Sus scrofa: one gene and its partners. The protein of the gene in region 1 interacts with the protein of each later gene in a biochemical or structural test. Links are inferred from orthologs where the notes say so. Each region holds a gene or a part of one and is shown on either strand. Other genes may lie near its edges. The genes, in order: APBA1, CNTNAP4 and HTR2C.

Region 1 (3,748 bases):
GTCCCAACTTTAGGAAGCTAAGTAGTGCATTTTAAAAATTATCACAGTTATGTCAGAAAGAAAATCACTAATTCTTGAGTCATCAACTGTGCTGTTGTATAATTATTCTTTTTCAAAACAGTTTATTTATCTTGATAATTAATAATATTCTTAAACTGTCTTATTAGACATTTACATCTCTGAATTTTACCTGCAGATATAAAGATGCCAACTATTTTTTAGAAAATCCAAAACCTCTGAGAATGCCTTTTACACTCCAAAGTACTTTTCTCAGGAAGAAATCAGCAGAACTAATGAGAGTGAAGAACTAAGAATTAAAATTCATTTTTATAAATCTATCCTTAAATCCTGGATGCAGTCCAACAACCTCCCATTAAAATTTTACAAGACTTGACTTGACGTGGGAAATTTAATGTTCACAGCTCCAAGAAAACCCGATCTACAGATCATCATTAATTAAGAGAAGATAAATGGGAAGAAAAAAAATATGTGGACAGCCCTATTATTATTTTCCTATTATTATTTTCAATGCAACTCCTGCAAAAAGAAAATAAAACGATTTTTTTTTTAAAGAGAAAGAAAGCTCTGATGCCAATGTGTTGTATACTTACTTGTGTAGCTATGACTGCTTACAGGCTTTTCAAAAGGATCAGGGCAGCCAGTTTGGATTCCGACAGCAATGCAGTAGAATTTAAGGTGTTATGATTAAAATATGTTCTAAGCAGGTTAATCTAGTCTCATGACATTTTAATAAAGAAATATCAAGATACTAAGTGGAAAGGTACATTCATTTCTATAAATACCGCAGGAGAAACACAGGAGCAGGGAGCCAAACTGCAGTGGACACATATATGAATATGCTATCTCCCTTCCTATCGCTCTCTACCCAGCCCCACACAAGCCTATCTTTATCACGCAGAGACAATTAAACAGCTATTGACTCTGGATGCAATTCTGTGTCCTGGCTCCCACTGGGTGACTTATTCCCAGCCTGACATTTTCCAAATTCCCTACTAGCAGGCTACATTGACTACGCACTGACCTGGGACCTCACCACCATGAGTCTTGGGGGATTTCAGTTCTGGAATAATACATGGTACCACCTAGTCATTGTGAAGCCTGGAAGAGTAGATGACACCAGGAGTAGAAATAAAGTATCCCTTTTCCTAAGGAAAACGCCCTGCCTGTGTGACGTTGACCAAGGAGGGTACCAAATATTTCTCAGTAGGATCTTTTCGTCTTTTAAATACCACCCCTCCCATCTCTTATACACACATCTAGAGTTCATGCTACAAGAATAAACATAAAGACCATATTCTTCAGCCATAAGATTTCCAGTATTTAAATGTGGAAGAAGAAGGTCTAGTTGACATTCAAAGTTGGGGGAAAGAGAGAGGGATGTGGCCATTAAAGACCCTTCTCCTTCAGGTCAGACCAGAGATAAACAATAGAAACTGCAGTGTCAGGGCATCTAAGACCCTTACAGAGCAGGGGCTGAACAGAGGAGAGGTGTCACAGGATGGAAGCTCCCCTCAAAACCTTTCAGAAAGCCCAGAAAGGGTAACCATTACCCTCTTTCTCTGCCATGGGTCCAAAGCCACAGTCACACTTCCACATCCCCATGTCAAAAGACATGTGAGAACAGGGGGAAGTGAGGGTGAGTGAGGAGAAGTGAGAATCCCCACACCCGGCCATCCACGGGGCAGGAGCAGAACAGAGAAGGTACTCAGAGTTGCAGGATGGAAATAACAAACAGTGTCCCACAGTAAACGGGTGACAGCAAGTCGGGGCACCCGCAGATCTCTGGATTTGGAGAGCAGTTTGAGGAGCGTGGACACAATCACACACATACACAGATTCACACACATGGTATTTTACAAATCCGCACCCACCCTGCTGTCTCCCTCCACATTCACACACCAAGTGCCTCCTGCCCACTTCATCGTTGCCATCACCACACTCTTTTTCACAGTCAGCCAAGAGCTGAGGGTTCCTAGCGGGGATTCCTGGAAATGTCGTCCCCCAACACCTTTCATTCGCCATCCCCATCCCTTAGGCTCTACCTTTTACACACACACACACACACACACACACACACACACACACACTCCTGCCATGACTGTCATCAGGCCCGCCGCTGTCCCCAAAGCACTGCATTTCAGCAAGCACCGGACACCCGGCATCCCAATTCTCAACGCCTCCTTCCCCCGCCCCGTTAGCTCCGTGGCTAAAGGCACTGCCCTCTGGATGTCGCCGGCTGTCCCCTCTTATCCGCACTATTGTTCCTCGCAGCTCCTCTCGCGCCCGGGGGCACCCTTCCGCTAGGACCGGGGCTCAGTCGGGGGCAGCATCAGCGCCGGAGAGCCCCCATTCACCCACCCCTCCCTGGCGGTGGTACCTTGCTTGACAGCTGGGTCCGCGGGCCCGCGGGAGCAGGCGGCGCTAATGACAGCGTTGGTGCCAAGCCTGGGAATAAAGCTCCACTCCAGCCGCTCCTACCTCTACTGCCACCATCTTCTCCCGCCGCCGCCGCCACGACCTCAGCCTCCCTCGCCAATCTCGGGCTAGGGCTCTGCAGCCGCCGCTCGGGCCCCTTCGGTCCCGCGGCCCCACCCCCTTCTCCCCACCCTCCCGCCCGCCGCCCGCCCCTCGTGACGCGCGCCGGGGCCGAGCCGGCCGGCTGGAGAGGGAGGGTGCCCCGGGGAGCGCGCGCGCGCACGCCGCGTGCTAGGAGCGCCCTGCCTCCCACGCCCACCCGCGCGCACGCGCGGCGCGCGAGCCCTAAGCAGTTGGGCGGTGTCCTCCACGCGCCGCCTCTGAAGCGCCCCGGTCCCGACGCGGGTGGGCGTGCCTGGCTCTGCTGCCTCTTGTCGCTCTTAAGTGCCTGGCTCGGGCAGGGGCGTCTTGCAGTGCGTGGGCCCCGCCGGACCTCCTGTTCTCTCCTCTGGCTGCTGGCCGGGCGCACTGAGCGTGACGTGGGGTTGTCTCCGCGAGGGGACTGATGGGGACACCCCCGCCTCCTCGGCGGAAGCCCAGAGGGGGTTCCCCGACAGGATGGGCCGCGCTGTGGGACCACGAGGTCGGGCCGCTGCTTTGGCTCCTGAGGGGTGTTCCCTTTGCTGAGTTACTACCGAGCTTCTCTTCTTCCGGCCCTGCCTGCATTTCGCTGCCCCGCGGCTGCACAAGACCCCTTCAGAAAAGAGGGTGGCTGGCGTCTCGGAAAGCGCTGCAGTCCTGCGTTGTCGCCGCCAGGGGGCGAGTCGCTCGGGTTTGAGCTGGAGCTAAACGGGCCGCGTTTGCCGCCCTTGAGGGGAAGAGTCCGTTCCTGGGGGAAGAGCAGAAAGCTTCTGCCGGGAGATGCTCGGCTTAATTTTTCTACCTGCTTCTCAGTTCTGGTTGGTCAGAATTTAGACTGTATTTGAGCCTAGCTTAGGGCATCAGTCCCAGATATGCTTGGGAGGGAATAAGAGTGGGGGTGGGGGGGAGCCTTAGCAGCAGGAACCAGGTGTCAGGTGCTGTGCGTTAATGAAAAGCAGTGGGATAGACAGGCCTCAGGGGACTTGGGCTCTGTCGACAGCCTCACCTATAATTGGCAATGTATTATGAGCGAAATCATTTCTCTTCACAGATTTCTCAGTAATAATAAATGATATTTGCACAAAGCCTTATAGTTTGCAAAGCCATCTTCATACACATATTCTCATCTAGTAAAATGAAGATAAGCCTTGATTATCTGGAGCTCTTGGGA
Region 2 (3,748 bases), on another chromosome or scaffold:
TTTTCTACAAAACTGTGTGAGTGTGTGTGTGTGTGTGTGTGTGTGTGAGTGTGTGTGAGTGTGTGTGCATGTGGCTCTGTGTTGTTACTGTTTGTTGTAATGTTTGTCAAGTGCTACCAGCATGCCAAGATTTTTGACTAGGTGAAAACATGCACCGTTCACTGACTCACGGGATTCTGACATCCCAAAATTTAAACAGCAGCACAGGGCAGGGCCTGAGTGAAGTTCTTTCACAGTGACAGATGACACCAGGACATGCGATGATACTGAAGGGGAGCACGAAATCCCCGTGGCCACACAGGGTAAATGATCATTTGACTGGTGCCAGTGAGGTCATTTACAATGCTCTTCCCACATCAGAGCACTTTCGTACACTCCAGGGATGTGTCATAACAAATGCCTGCTCACTGGTGTATTCGTGTCCCCCAAACCCAAACCTGGCTGAACAGCAGTAACATAAATTCCTGAAGAGGCCTCATAGCTCTTTCTTGAAAAGCAGATGAGCTTTTAAAATCCAGGAAAGAGAGAAAAAGTTGTATTTGCTGAGCTTGTTGATCACTCATCAAAGGAGAGGGAAAATGCTCCCATTTTTGAGATTTTAAGCCAAAGATAACTTTGACAACTTTTTCTTATCTCTCAAACAAAGTGGAAGAAGGGCTCTCTGCCACATTATTCTGGATGATACTCAAATTAGAAATAAGATCTTAATAAATCTTCCCTGAGCCCATTAATTCAGAACCAGCATATTCAAACACACATGTACAAAGTTAAAAATTCGGCCACCAAAGAAATCATCTGAATGTTCAGGAAATCATCTGAATTTTTTTGTTGGTTTTTTTTTTTGGTTTTTTTGGTTTTTTTGTTTTTTTCAGGACACAGCATGTAGGAAGCAAGCCCCTTCTCCCAGGAATGTTCGAGTCTCATTCTTAGAGCAGCGAGGGCGCAATTTTTAATATTGAAGTTTACCTCCACCAACTGTGCCCCTGAATTCTGCAGTACATTTCAGCTATTATTCTGGCATCATTTTATAGATGCAGCCAGCCATCAGGCTGCCAAATAGCAAACTTCAGAAACCTAAGCTAATGCAGCATAGTGTAAAGTCTGCCAGTTGTTTTCCTGTTAGACTCAATTCCAATAAAATCTAGTAAACCTAAAAAAGGAAAGAAAGGAAGCCATGCACAGGCGATTCTCTGGTCAAGACGCTCATTTAGTGTTTTACTAGAACTTGAGCCTTCTCAGGGAACACACAAAGACCAGAGGATAAGATGCTGCGCCTAGACAAAAAGACAAATGACACTTTGCATATTCTGATCAGACCAAAAGGAATGACATGTGTCAACCCAATCATATGTGCAAGATTTTTAAGTGATGCTTCATTTATAGCAACATGCTTTGCGGCAATTCCAGTTGTAAATAATAATCATAAAAAACGAGAGAATTAAAGTTTTGCAGAGAGGCCCCCTGCAAGTTTTAAATCATTTGCTGGATACTTACAGGAATTCCCAGCTAAAACCCTGTTCCAATTTGGAGTAGATAGCAGAAGTAGCATCTTGAGGACAGCTCCGGTGACAGACCCCATGTTCACATTTATCTGGCCTCCCCAAAAGATCTTGAGTGGCTCTCCAAGGGATCGGGTCGCGTTCTCTGTCCCTCTCCCAGTTCTGTCTGGGTCTTCGGCACCTCTGGGTCTCTCAGCCTCTCTCCTTCTTTCCCTTCTCTCTCTCTCTCTCTTTTCCTCCCTCCCACCCTCCCTCCCTCTCTCTCTTCCTCTCTCTCTCTCCCTCTCTCCTTCCCTCCCTCTCACTCTCACACACACAAACACACACACACCACAGCCCTGACTGCTCCCTGAAAAGCGCCCAGCATCTTTTCTAACGAGCATCCACACCGCCGAGGCCACGCCCACTCCTCTCCGCCGTGGTCCCAGAAATTGGCAGCCGCATCCGTCCTCCAAATCCACAGCCGCGCTCAGAGCTCCACGCGCGCTGCTCTGTGATGAAAGCCGGACCTGGAGGCGCGGCCTGCAGCTCCCCGGCCTCCTCGGGGCTCCCTCCCCTCTGCTCGATTCTTCAATAATCCTTAACCCTTTTCTCCCCTCCGGAGATGTCGGTGGGGGGAGGGGCCAGGCGGTGGCGCCTCCTGATTTTCCGAAGGTCTTGCCTTCGGCAGAGCCAGTCAACCGACCGAGCTGATTCCTGATCAGCCGGGAGGGCATCCAGGTAAAATTGTGTTTTGTTGCAAAACAAAAGCATAAAATGAGACAGCAATAACTAAGCCGCACTGGTAAATTGTAGCTAAAACCGTCCTTGGGGAAAATTCTTGCTGTTGTTTTTCTCTGTTTATATAAAACTATCCTCTTCAGCTCTGGTGCCAGGATTTTATTATGGAAATGCCTCACAAGCAAACAGACATTCCTGTTTGGCAGATATTTAAAATCATCTAGTAATAGCCTGCAAGAAATTAAAATTTCTTATTTTAGTGCATCAGGAGTACAGATCCACAAACTGAATGCTTTGGATAGATTATTTGAATGCATCAGGCTGTGAATTCACAGTGGCATTCTACCATCAAAGTCTTTAATAACAATTCCCAAAAGGCCCAAAAATAAAATGGATACGATACTGAAGAAAGGGAGCTCTCTCACTCACACACACACACACACACACACACACACACACACACACCCCAAACCTAAACAATATAAAGATGTAATTCAAATAGTCTAAAGGAGAGAAGTGTCAAGTTGAGTTCAGAAGACCACAGACTACAGAAAAATCACTCTTCTAATGGCTGATCCATGGATACGGCCAGTTCTTGAACAGAATACTAAAATGATGGAGTTCATACCACATAATAATAACTGAATCACAGAATGTCACAGAATGATAAATAATCTCTTGAAATTAAATGTCAAGATATTTAGCTGATGCTCTGCTAAATTTTATAGACCAGGAATCCTGAGGTTCTCAAGCACTTCCTGATGATTATACATCAGAAGAAACAAGCCTTCGGCAGCAACAACTTTGCTATGGAATGAATGAAATAAAAGGGAACGGACAGAAGTGTTTTCCCATAAAACTGTAAGAGCTAACTCTTGCCTACAAACAAAGCAGAGGATCATTTTACTTTGCCTGTTTTGCAGATGAGAAAACAAGAACAGGGAATTTAAACAACTTGAGATCACAGAGTTACTAAGTAAAGCACTGAGGCTTGAGCTTTGGTTTTCTGACTCCAATTTTCCTGCTCTCTCCCTGGGACTTGCTGCCGCAAGATAAGAGTACAGCTCCTTCCTGACCTCTGTCTGTGGCAGTGAAAACCTGGCAAGGGAAAAAAAAAAAAAAAAAAGGCAGTGGAAAAGAAAGGTCATTGCTTGAGGGTTGACTCTGTATTTCTAGGACTACATTCTGATTTTGTTATTTTTGCACATAACATGTCAAGCAAAAGCACATACAAATTGACAATTCCTGATAAGTGGTTAGTGAAGAGGATTTTTTTTTAGTCATCATTTATATATGTATTTTTTCTACTGTACGGCATGGTGACCCAGTTATACTTACATGTATACATTCTTTTTTCTCACATTACATGTTTCATCATAAGTGACTAGACAAGGGTTCCCAGTGCTACACAGCAGGATCCCATTGCTAAGCCATCCCGAAGGCAACATTCTGCCACTATTTACCCCAAGCTCCCAGTCCTTCCCACTCCCTCCCCTTCCCCCTTAAAGAGGATTAAATATTGTTGAACA
Region 3 (3,748 bases), on another chromosome or scaffold:
GAATAGGAAAGGTTAATAACCTTCTCTAGATTATGCAGCATGAAAAACGCTATCAGTGTTGGTTTAAGCACCCCAGATCCTACCTTGACATTGCAATCAAAAGCCTTATCCACCTTCCGAATCTCAGGACTTGCGTTGGGCTTGTTGCTGTAGATGATAAAAGCTATTAGGAAAGAAATTGTGTGAACGAAAAAAAATATTTTATTTCCTTCCAGAAGGCTCAGAAGAACATATTTAGGGAATGAGAAATATAATTAAATATTCTATAACCTACCTCCCCAAAATATAGAAAAATTATGTAATTCCTCCCACCCATGGGGGAAAGGTAGATGACTACCAAGCATCAAGGTATCATGGTGCAAAGAAATCATACTTTTCTGAAAGGATGGTATTCAGTGTGACTTAAATACTGCAAAAAAAAAAAATGCAATGATCATGGTAGAAATCATTGTTTTTTTCTGTAGGGCATGTCAATTGGCCTTTTTCATTGTGTCTACACCTATATAGTCAACTAGAGAAACACTTGGTTTCTACCATGTTCATATTTTGATTGTTAGAATGATTGCTACGTAGATAAATTTTTTTCTTTTTTCTCGGGGGGGGGGTGGCACCCGGGCATTTGGAAGTTCCTGTGCCAGGGATTGAACCCGTGCCACATCAGTGACCCAAACTGCTGTAGTGACAAAGCCAGATCCTTGACCTACTGTGCCACAAGAGAACTCCTAGATAAAATCCTTAATTTAAATTCTGAAACAGAGATGTCTTTTGCATCACTGTGTGTGTGAGGTCACAAATGTCTGCAAACTGGGAAGCTCAGAGATTACTTACTGCGCAGCATCTCCCTTAACCCCAATCATTAAAAATCAATGGATTTTCCCCTAGAGGGAGATTCCCTTGGTTAGCCTACCTAAAAGATATGTGGTGAGGTTGTTCAGGGGCTTAGCAAAGGCTTCTCTGGAGGGGACCTGTGACAGTAAATAGTAATGTTATAGTTAATAGTAATGCTGTGCGGTACCGGCAGTGATTCTCAATCAAATCAGATTTTCTCTAAGTGCCGAATATCGCCCGCTGAATTTGAGTAGAGGAGCGCTGTCGCTTAAAATGGGATTCGGACAGAATACAAAATGTTTGTCACCTCAGGTCGCCTATTACCCAACAGGAAGCAAAAAGCAAAGGGCACGGCGCAGAAAAAAAACAGACACACAGACACGTTTTGCAATGACGAACTTTATGTGGCGTCAGGACCGGCAACCTGTTCTCATTATGTTTAGCAATTCCGAGGTACGCTGTTACGATTACTTGTCAGGTTAAACTGAGTAAAGGAACTGGAATAAGAGGCAGCGCTGGAGACGTCTCGGCAATCCTTTTCAAAATATAAAACTGTCACCAAGTGACTTAGGTAAGCTAGTAAGAAGGCTCGCTGTACGCCCTTAGACCCTCCGATTAAACTTACGTGATCGTCAGCACCCCTGTTCAAATTCAGCCAACAGCAGTTAGACCAAGACACAGATCCGCAGTGTTTGTCTCCCCTGAGTTATCAGTGTTTACTGAGACCCTCCAAAAATTAGGGTCTGTTTTCAATGAGAACTTAATAGAGGATCTTTCGTCCCCTTTTGCTTCCATTGTCCCAATCCTTAAGCCCCCTCCCACTTGCCCAATATCAGATTTCTTTAAAACGTAGTCCGTGCCCTCAATTCATTTGCACCTTCCGCAGCCCGAACCTTTGCCCAGAGACACCTATGTTCAGTCTCGTCTCCCACTCTCCCCTCTTCCCTCTCACTTCTTGAGATCTCACGCCCGCCTCCCCTCACTCTCAGCTTCCCGGGGGCGTATTCTAGAGACCCCCGCCTTCGCCCTTCGCCTGTTCCTCTGGAGTCACCCCTCCCAACCTCTCTCGAGACCTCGGTGCCCCTCCCTTGGAACCTAAGTCCCTCGCCCCTCCCTAAGACCCCAGACTCTCCGCGATTTGCGCGTTCAGAGTCCCTCCCAATCCCCGCCCCCCTCACCTCCCGCCCGGGCCAGTGCGGTCCTGAAAGCTGCAACGTACGGGACCTGTCCCTGCTCGCCACGCCATCCCCCGCCTAAACCATTAGGGTCTTGGCTAGCAATGACGCCCGGGTTCCAACTTACCACAAGCGTCCGGGAGGAAGGCAAGGCAGCGGTCGCCGCGGCGGCAGCTAGACGAGAAACGGACTCGGCTGCAATCGCCCAGCGGAGCCCGCGGCAGTCAGTGCGCTGCGCTGCGCGCCGCAATCTCGCGCCTCGGCGGAGAGAGGGACGGAGGGAGCTCGGCGCGATAGCAAGCGCCGGCTAGTCGACCTCCTCCGGGCGACCGTGCACCCCCGGATTGGTTTGGCTTTTCTTGTTCCACTATCTTACTCTAGCATAGTAACTGACCACCTCCAGCATCTCTGCGCTATTCGCGTCTTCTTTCTTCTTTGGTGGCCCCTAACTAACTACACTATTCTAAACGGACGAAGGCCATCACGGGAGCACCACGACGATCTCGACGACTCCGACGACAACGATGTGCAAGAAGAGGTAAGAAAAGTTCATATGCAATCGCAGGTAAGGGGCAGGCAGGCCGATGGAGCAGCCAAGGCTGGCAATCTAGCTGCTCCAAAGGCAGGATCGGAAAGATCCGTGCACCCGAGGAGCGGAGTGTCCTCGGCGAGCACCAGAGCGCCTACCCAGCGCCGATGAAGCTGCATCGCTCTCTTGGGCTAAACCAGGGATGAGGGGCGGAGCCAAGAATGGCCAATCGGCGCTCAGGAATCCACTGCCCCCGGCCTGTTTGGACCAGTCTCTTAGTGCAACTGGAGCCTGCTGGCAGGGGGCGCGGGACCCCTTGGTGGTGGTGGTGGTGGTGGTGATGGTGGTTGTGGTGGTGGTTATGGTGGTGGTGATTAACTTGATCCATGAGGCCTGGGCCGGGGGAGGGTGGTAGTGGGGGGGAAATGGGGGTGTCAGTCGGGGGGAGCCAGGCCCTCAAGAATGTACCCTTAAAGATTCAAAGAACATCCCTCCCGGAACATGCACACACACCCCACACACTCCCTTGAACATTTCCGTTCAACAATTCTCAAGTCTTGGAAGTTACCACGAGCTTTGAAATTCAGTCCCTGACTCCTGCCACTTTCCCCAACAAAGCAACTGAGGCATTCAAAGGGTCACATACATTTAGGGGGCAAAGGCCTTAGTCCAATTATAAGGATCGATTCCCCACCCTTGTCCTCAGCCCCAAATACAAAGAAGGGAGAAAGGAAAGTCCTTGGCCTTCGTGCTCCAAGAGGGCACATCTTATTTCCATTCTTGAACCCCCAGCCCCCAGCTGAGTGCTTAGAATGACGCCCTGAACCCAGCTCCTTTAGGTTTGTGAGACGAGGCTGCACATTTTTCTCCTGCGCAGAGCTTGGGGCCCAGAGCTATTTGGTTGCCCAGCCGCTGTGAGGACTGCCATGACATAGTGAAGACAGCAGGGCAAGGGGTGAACCACGAACCTCTCTTTTGGCAACTAAGGGGAGCCGATCATCAACAAGGCAAGAGAGCTCTTTTTCTTGGGCTCCCAAGGCGCCAGGAGAGTGCTTTCCATGTTAGGGCTGCAGCACAGAGAAGGGCGGTCTGGGCCACCTTGGCCGAGATGCCTCGCAGGCACCAGGACCAAGATTAACAGTGAAGATGCTCACACCGAGACCGGTGGGTGGGAGGAGGGCAAAGCAGATTTCTTCTTTGAAGGAATGGGAGAGAA

Evidence for each region.
Region 2: the proteins of APBA1 (region 1) and CNTNAP4 form a complex in vitro, tested with the Homo sapiens proteins (2 studies listed by BioGRID and IntAct, with this or other methods). The link is inferred for Sus scrofa from reciprocal best matches to the Homo sapiens genes APBA1 and CNTNAP4.
Region 3: the proteins of APBA1 (region 1) and HTR2C form a complex in vitro, tested with the Homo sapiens proteins (2 studies listed by BioGRID and IntAct, with this or other methods). The link is inferred for Sus scrofa from reciprocal best matches to the Homo sapiens genes APBA1 and HTR2C.

Annotation. Positions count from the first base shown.
Region 1 is NC_010443.5:222,987,348-222,991,095, forward strand, and holds the start of APBA1 (amyloid beta A4 precursor protein-binding family A member 1), read right to left. Parts: upstream 2,652-3,748; 5' UTR 2,399-2,651; intron 1-2,398. UniProt on the Homo sapiens protein: Putative function in synaptic vesicle exocytosis by binding to Munc18-1, an essential component of the synaptic vesicle exocytotic machinery. May modulate processing of the amyloid-beta precursor protein (APP) and hence formation of APP-beta.
Region 2 is NC_010448.4:11,587,396-11,591,143, forward strand, and holds the start of CNTNAP4 (contactin-associated protein-like 4), read right to left. Parts: upstream 2,234-3,748; 5' UTR 2,216-2,233; coding exon 1,495-2,215; intron 1-1,494. UniProt on the Homo sapiens protein: Presynaptic protein involved in both dopaminergic synaptic transmission and GABAergic system, thereby participating in the structural maturation of inhibitory interneuron synapses.
Region 3 is NC_010461.5:94,052,400-94,056,147, reverse strand, and holds the start of HTR2C (5-hydroxytryptamine (serotonin) receptor 2C, G protein-coupled), read right to left. Parts: upstream 2,702-3,748; 5' UTR 2,131-2,701; intron 1-2,130. UniProt on the Homo sapiens protein: G-protein coupled receptor for 5-hydroxytryptamine (serotonin).